Linked DNA regions of Oryzias latipes. The protein of the gene in region 1 interacts with the protein of each later gene in a pairwise test. Links are inferred from orthologs where the notes say so. Each region holds a gene or a part of one and is shown on either strand. Other genes may lie near its edges.

What was found. The genes of interacting proteins can lie anywhere in the genome.
Region 2: the proteins of aqp1 (region 1) and regulator of G-protein signaling 17 interact in binary tests that used the Homo sapiens proteins (3 or more experiments, as listed by UniProt). The two-hybrid records come from large-scale screens. The link is inferred for Oryzias latipes from reciprocal best matches to the Homo sapiens genes AQP1 and RGS17.

The regions. Positions count from the first base shown.
Region 1 is NC_019875.2:28,339,611-28,343,535, forward strand, and holds aqp1 (aquaporin-1), read left to right. Parts: upstream 1-1,490; 5' UTR 1,491-1,552; coding exon 1,553-1,915; intron 1,916-2,282; coding exon 2,283-2,444; intron 2,445-2,578; coding exon 2,579-2,659; intron 2,660-2,839; coding exon 2,840-3,019; 3' UTR 3,020-3,415; downstream 3,416-3,925. UniProt on the Homo sapiens protein: Forms a water channel that facilitates the transport of water across cell membranes, playing a crucial role in water homeostasis in various tissues.
Region 2 is NC_019865.2:27,368,489-27,372,776, reverse strand, and holds the start of regulator of G-protein signaling 17, read left to right. Parts: upstream 1-1,472; 5' UTR 1,473-1,720; coding exon 1,721-1,777; intron 1,778-4,288. UniProt on the Homo sapiens protein: Regulates G protein-coupled receptor signaling cascades, including signaling via muscarinic acetylcholine receptor CHRM2 and dopamine receptor DRD2.

The sequences.
Region 1 (3,925 bases):
CCACTTTGCTTATGACTTATGAATTATTGAAAGAAATGATGAATTTCTCTCTCAGACATTAATCACTACAGTTCAACAGCATGAGTCACTATTCTGAAAGACATCTGGATGCAACTTGTTATCTCGCAGTTCTGTCACGGCAACCATGCATAGCGTAGCGCTGCGGCGTGTCGCACAAGTCAGAAGAGTTAATAATTAAAGGATAATAAGTTTGACAGAACACTTTCCATTGTCTGATTTTGATGCTGTATTGAAACTTTAAAAATTAACAGATTCAGATGACTTCATAAAACAAAATGACAAGAACTGAAAGTTTGGATGAAGATAAAAGTGTTTGGCAGCAAAAATTTAAGGAGTTGAATACGAAAGAACAATAATAAGGAATATTTACACTTGAAATTGTACAAAACCTACTTTTATTTTACAAATTTGTTTTATTTTGCTGCTAAATTTGACTGATTGATTCTTGGTATTTACTTTTCCTTTTTAGTTCTGAAATTGTACTTACTACATATACAAATACCTGTGTTTCTGCATTGTTACTTGTAAAAAAAAAAAGCAATAAATCTAAATCTATTCTAAATCTAATCTAAATATGATGGTTATCATATATGAAAACTAATGCAAAAGTCCAGTGACAGGGTCATTTCTAAGAATATGTCATTTGAAAAGGATTTTTTCTATCAGATAAGCAGTGAAAGGGCGGACTGCCTTTTGTTGGAGTCCCTCTTTAAGTGGGGGGGGGCTCCAGAACAGGCAGTGCCGTTCATGGAGTTGATCATTCACTTTCTTGCTCAACAATACAACTAGTAATTGTGCAAAAACGTCAATCAAGTTAATAAATCACAGTTGCTCTATTAGAAATGGAAAAGTTCTACTTATGCAATTCTGATTAAAATATCATTTAGGACCTTTAACTTCAGTTTCTTCATTCAGTTACTTTTTTGTGCCTAAAATATCTTAATTGTATTACTTCATGTTGCTCAAAATTGGAGTAGAAGCCAGGGGGAATGTGGAGCAAAGGGCTGTTTGGAGCTGTCTCCTGCCTTCCTGTATGTTGTCAGTGATCCACGCTCACATTCGTAAGGCGCAAAATTGCACAAAATTGTCATTTAAGGCAAATTTCAGCTAAAAAACGCTTCCCTCTGCTCCTGGAAAGTTCTGACTGGGAGCTCTCTCTCAGTGGGGAGTTTCATTTAGAAACGCCGGTACGAAAGGACATTTTATCTTTGGGTACAGCTATTTAAAGACTCTGTTTTGCTATTCACAAAAGTCCAAAGACCGGAGAGAGTGCTGCACAGGGAGGTGCTGGGAGAAAGCTGGAGGACGGAGAGGGGAGAAGGGAGGGTGAGGAAGCAGAGGGAGGGATGGGAGAGACCGGCCTTTTGGGTTTCTCATTAGTTCAGCGTGGTTCTCCCTTTCAGTTTTTTTTTTTTTTTCTTTAAACGCCCGCCCACCAACCATTATCAGCACCGGCCTTATATATGCAGCCTGATGCTGTTGTTTACGATTACACACACTTTGCAGCTCAAACCGTCACACAGCCACCACCATGAGGGAGTTCAAGAGCAAAGATTTTTGGAGGGCCGTTCTAGCCGAACTGGTCGGCATGGCCTTCTTTATTTTTCTCAGCATCTCTGCAGCCATTGGAAACTCCAACAACGCCAACCCAGACCAGGAGGTGAAGGTGTCGCTGACCTTTGGATTAGCCATCGCCACTCTGGCCCAGAGCTTAGGCCACATCAGTGGAGCCCACCTGAATCCCGCCGTCACCCTTGGCATGCTTGCCAGCTGCCAGATCAGCGTCTTCAAGGCAGTCATGTACATAGTGGCTCAGATGCTGGGTTCAGCCCTCGCCAGCGGCATCGTTTACGGGACGCGTCCTTCCAACACCAGCGCCCTAGGGCTCAACTCTGTGAGTAAAACTTTTTATATCCCCTTTTCTTGACAGCAGAATTTGTTTACCTAAATAGGATGCACGACAGCATGGAGAGGTCGCCATCCTTTAAACGCACACCTGTCCACGTTGCATTTTAAGGACAGTGCATTTAAATGCAACGTGGAGAGGTGTGCAGGTAAAGGACGGCCCCTATAGACAGAACCACCGTTTTTTGTTTGGCAAAAAAAATCTATTAAAAACTTGTAGCTTCAGTGATTTTATGACTCTACTACTGCAATAATATGATAGCATCAAGATGTCAGCATAAAGCCAGTGAAGGGAAACTTTCCATTCTTTCCATTCCAATGTCTGAATTTTGTCCCCCCCCCCTAAAAACCCACAGCTTAACGGTGTCACCCCCAGCCAAGGAGTGGGCATTGAGCTTCTGGCCACCTTCCAGCTGGTGCTGTGTGTCATTGCAGTCACTGATAAAAGGAGGCGTGACGTCATGGGCTCTGCACCCCTGGCCATTGGCCTCTCAGTTTGCCTGGGACATTTGGCAGCTGTAAGTTACACCATCCCCAAAAATGTTTGTTCAAGATTGACCCCAGTGGATTTTAGTGTGGTCCACCAGGTGAATAAACCGCCTTTCATTGCTCCAGAATGACTTCATGTCTTTTTTTTTTTTTGTGATCATAGATCAGCTACACAGGCTGTGGCATCAATCCCGCCCGCTCCTTTGGCCCAGCTTTGATCCTGAACGATTTTACGGACCACTGGGTAAGTTGGAGGGAGAATGAGCCCCAGCAGACCTCAGACAGCTGAATGTGGGCTATTTAGCAAACCCAAGTAACTCACTACACACATAAGTTAATCAGTGTTTGTGGCATTTCTGTGACACAGTAAGGACTTGAACGTTACAAAGTCAGTGCAAAAGCTGATATGAGTTATCTGTCCTAGGTGTACTGGGTGGGCCCGATGTGTGGTGGTGTAGCGGCGGCTCTGGTGTACGATTTCCTGCTGTCCCCCAAGTTTGATGACTTCCCTGATCGCATGAAGGTCCTAGTCAGCGGTCCAGTGGGAGACTACGATGTAAATGGAGGAAACGAGTCTGCGACTGTGGAGATGTCTTCAAAGTAGCTGCAGTTGTTTTTTCCCCCCACGTCCTTGTAAATGTCTATACTAAAAAAAAAATCAATATGTACAAATTTAAAATTCAAAAGCTTTGAAATTTAGTGCAGAGTTTTAACGTTGTTTTGAAAAAAACCAAGGAGGATTGTCGTCTACGGGTCAGCTAGAGAGGCTGTCTAAAGTCACTCCTTTTATCAACGCAGCACAAGCTCTTTATCAAACCGCTGCTGAAGTTTGAAACCCCGGGCGGGACGTTTGCTGATCCTTTTTCTCCATATCAGTATTGTATGTTGAAGCCTATTTTGTATATTACCTGTTTCACTTATTCTTATTCCTGATGGATATTATATTGTGTGCACTCTTTTGTCTAAAGTTTTTTACGTAAAATAAAACACAATGTGAGAATTTGTTGTTGTCGTTTCATTTATTATTCAAATTTTCTTTAATGTTTTTTGTAATACTATGAATTCATCCCAAACACAAAAACTGCATGACATAACATGCAAAAAGTTACCAACAACCTGATAGAGTTCCTAGAAACACACAACTCTCAGCTGTAAGTTTATGATCTGTCAGATTAGATTATGCACGAGTGATTATGAAAATAAAACACAGCCAAAGAAATGATCCGCCTTACTCACGACTGCCCTTACGGACGGATACGGGCCTGCACAAAATTTGAGTGAACCTGTAGAGTGAAATAAAAAATGTTAATGAACATTCTTTTAGAGAACACTTATGCAACACGTAAGGGTGAAATAGGTGGGAAGCAGGTGAACGCTAAGGACTGCACAGGGAACCTTGTTGGTGCAATAGATAAGTGCGTGCTCCTTGCTCCTTGTCTAATCAGGAAATTAGACAGATTGTAGTTCATGTGGACATCTTACAGGGGTCCCACGGGCACGTATTTATCAC
Region 2 (4,288 bases), on another chromosome or scaffold:
TTGGTCTTAGAAGGTGGTCTGGTTTAGGAAGTCTCATAATTCAATGTGTTGCTCAATTTTACCCCACCAAACCATGAATATAGCTTAGACAGGGCAAACGTATTTGATAAGCAAGACTTCATACTCACAACAGCAGGGATTTGTGCAGCTCCCCAGGACTCCTGTGACAGATCAAAGGTTAACCTCTGATAACAGCTGGAGGCGGAGACTAAAGCTTGGTCTGTCATGCCAGTCAGGCAGGAGCATCAAAATAGGCATTACCCCCGATGATTAAGCTGGGTATGCAGTAGAAGATGAGCTGTGGATCATTGAAATGCAACTCCCTCAAAGATGTTGGAGGATCAATGAATACAAGTTCACAGTGATCTAAAGATAGTGTCTGTCAGCAGACATGAGTGGACTTCATAGTTCATCGAAAAATGAACTTTGCTGATGGCTTTGACTTGTACACATACTGAAGAATTATTCAGTCAGTTTAATTTGAGAGATTACATTTTTAGTAGCGTTTCAAAATGTCCTTACCTCCATGGGTGCGATATTTTATAGGAGTACAACCAAATCAAATTAGCATTGTGAAAAGGGATATTTATCAACAAAATTAAATGTAGATTGATATTTAATCTAATGATGAAATTGCGTCAATGTCTTTATAAACCAGAAATACTCTCACACGGTTCTTTATTTCTTTCTTCTTGGTGTTTGGCGCCCCCTTCTGTGCATATTCATTGATTCACCTACACAATATTTAAAATAAAATAATAAAAAAACAATTTAAAAAAGGTCAGAAATGTATGTCTGTTTTAATTATTCTTTTTGCATTCATTTTTATTTGGTTATTATTTTCCTGAGTCATAGTTGTGCCCATTAACATCAGTGGAAATGTTTTTCCATCCTAGTAATTTAATTTAATTAAAATGATTTTTAAAGAAGCCACATAGACTTTAACTTGATTGATTTTATAAAAAAAAATTATTATTTTTACTTGTCTCCTTTACTTTAAGTTCTATATGACATATAGTTCCATTTCAAATACAATCACACTTTGAAACTGCACTTTCATCTGGCAAATAGAAAAGAATTATAATTTGAAGTTGTAATTAATAGTGATTTAATTCTAATTTTAATATATATTAGCTTTGAACATCTTAAAAAAGAGAAACTAGTGCAACAAACACCATTTTATATTGAACTTTTTGTCATTGTCGTTTGTAACGTGAAATTAGTTATTAATCATCTGTATTTCTTAATAATAAGCTACATTTTTAAAGTTGCTAGGTTTGAGTAAATGTTTAAAAATATTAAGAATGTAATTAGGATTTTTACTATGAATCATAATTCAAATCAGTTGCAGTTTGTAATAGGCTAATGATGAAAACCTGTGTCTGACATTGTTGTGTGTTAAAAGTTACAACTCTATATGCATGAATGAACGTGGAGCTCCGCGCATGCGCCCTGCTGACTGTGTCCGCGAGGGCAGCGAGCTCGCTTCCTCTCTCCCCGCCGTTTTTAGCTGTCTCTCTGCCACACTCTCTATGGGAAAAACCCAAGCAGGGGGGAGATCAGCAGAAGGGGGAGGAGGAGTACTCCTTCCGACACAGCGGCGGAGGTAGGCTACTCCGAAAACATATATTAAAATATTTATCGGGAGGGGGGGAAAGAAAAAACAAAACAAAACAACGCACCGGTGCGGAGCGGCATTGGACCGACAATCTCCACACGGATGTGCCTCCGAAAGCGCAGCGGATACCGCCCTCCGGACCCCATTAATGCGAAGATTGTGAGTATCCGCCGGGCTGCAGGGCAGGCGGGGAGGGGAGGGGAGGGCTCGCTGCTTTCGGCTTCGTGCCGGGGGCTCCCGTCAGCGGAGCGGAGGGGCTTTTCTCCGCTCCGCGGCGCGGAGGGAAAGGTCGCTCCTCGCTTCCCCCTCCCTTTTCCTTCCCTCTCCTCGTTCCCTTCCCCATCCGTTCCGTGCTTCCCGTCCTCACCTACCGCCTGCTTCCTTCACGCCGGCCAGGAAACAAGCGGCGAGGCTCGCTGGTGAAGAAGGAGGCACTGACGGCCTTTGGCTTTGCCGCCGTCTGTCTCTTACCACACTCAGCTGCTTAAGTTAAGAGGAAAAAGGAACAACTGGGGAAGTTTTCTCACCATGTGCAGCTTTATCCTGTCTTTTCTGAGCAGCCATGCTTAGTTAATTAGTTTTAGAGAAAACTGCTGCTTATATTTATGGGAACAGCAAAGTTTTTAGGTACATTTTTAAAGATGATTGTTGAACATGCATTGATGGCAGCTTCATTTTTAATCAAAACAATGAATTTGTCTGAAAGGACGGAGGAAAAAAGTCTTTTTTTGGGTGGAGTCAGATAAACAGCCCAGTTTTAAACATGATCCTGGGTTTTCCACTGATGCTGAACTCATTTAAAACTTAGTGTAGGATCAGGGTTGTCTGTCACTTTAGTGCCTCCAGTGAAGCAGCAATGCAAACAGACCAAACCAATGACGATAGTTTGGTTCATTTGGGCTTTTTTTTTATTGAAGTTTGACTGGCGATCTGTCCGGGGCGAACCCCGCCTTCACCCAACTCTAGATAGGATAGGCTCCAGCAGCGGCGCCCCACACACAGGTTTAACGTCAGACAATATATTTTACTAGGTGGACGTGGGCCTCCACTTTTTTTGGTTTCTTCCAGTTTTCCTTAACGTTTGAGGGTAAAGTTTAGCTTCATCCTCTGTAAAATATCTGCAGCTGCTTTAAACTTTCTTTGTACGCTACATTTATTTTAGGAACAATGGGATTTAGATTTTCCCTCAACTCCTAGCTGTCAAAGTAGAACTAAACACTTTTAAGTTGTAAACCCCCCCCCCCAAAAAAAAGGCTGGTCACCAAATCTGGTATTTTAAAAAATATACATATAAACAAATCTACCGTTTGATCCACTTTATTAGCAGCGTTTCTCCAAACTTTAGACAGCCGGTTGCTGAATATTATGCATTATCATTATGGTGTGTGATAGCAACTGTTGCCATAAATCCATATTTGGAGTATTTGTATTTGTCTGTTGAATGATGCAGCTTTTTTAAAGGTCAAAATCCCTTTTTCTGTGAAAAAGGCATTTGTTTCCTTAACTTTTCTAGCTTGGAGGTTTCAGTTTAGCAGTCGGTGCAGTCCCTTTAAGAAAGTAGCAGAGGTATTTTCCACACGTGACCGAGCGACTTGACATGCGTCAAGAGTGAGTCAGATTTGGTGGAAAGCATTGGCTAGTTTTCCAAAGTAAAACTTCAGAACCAGATTATATTTTATAGTTTATTATTCCCATTGCTTTGACTGAATGAAGGTCTTTACAGACATCCTACCTTTCTGCTAAGAAGATGGATAGAACATCTGCAGTGCAGTCCTAAATCTGAAGACGTAGCGCTGGTTGATAATCTGCAGGACTAGTCTTGTCATGCAAGAGTTTGTCGTATGCGACCAAGACATTAACCAGGACGTCTCATAATTCACATGAGGCTCACTGCAGACCTTCTAGTTGTCAAGCTCTCAGGGCATTGTGTGACAATGACACCAAAATATAAGACAGACGTTTTTTTTTTTTTGCAGCTTCTCAACGATATCTCTCCAAAAAATTGTCAGACCATTCCGTGGTTTTTTTGAAGAAGTGTTGTGCAAGTGTTTATAGTTCCTCACTGCTCATTTTTCATACATGCCCAGTGCCAGTAGAACAGTCTCTTCTGGCTTGGGAAATCGCTACTCTGCCCCTCAGCTCATCTCAACAGTTGAATCACACTCATAAAGACTTTTGTTCAACTTGAGTTATGCATCAGAAATGAGTTGTGAAACTTAATTTTGTGGGCTGTTAGACAAAAAAATAATGTCAGCAATTTTTATTTTTTTTTGCTGTGTGCCATAAGTAATTGTTAATGGCTGACGAAGTATGCCTTATCACTTTTTAGCGCACGCCGTGGAAGCCTGAACCCTTCAACAAGAAGCGGAGGGCATTTCATACTTCGAAGGCCATTAACCCGCTTTATACCATGGTCACTTACAAAAGAAATAAATACTAACCAGTTTTTAATTTCTCCGATTTGGATAGCTTTTTTCACCGAAAGCGGACTATTTGTTCTGTGGTGCGGCGCCTTGTCATGGTAACCACCGATTGCAATCAAGATTCAGCGATACAAAGTGATATATATATATATATATATATATATATGAAAAAAAAAACGCCCCTCTCACCCTCCGCGGGTGGTTTCTCCTCCAAGCTCGGGTCCTCTACCAGAGGCCTGGGAGCTTG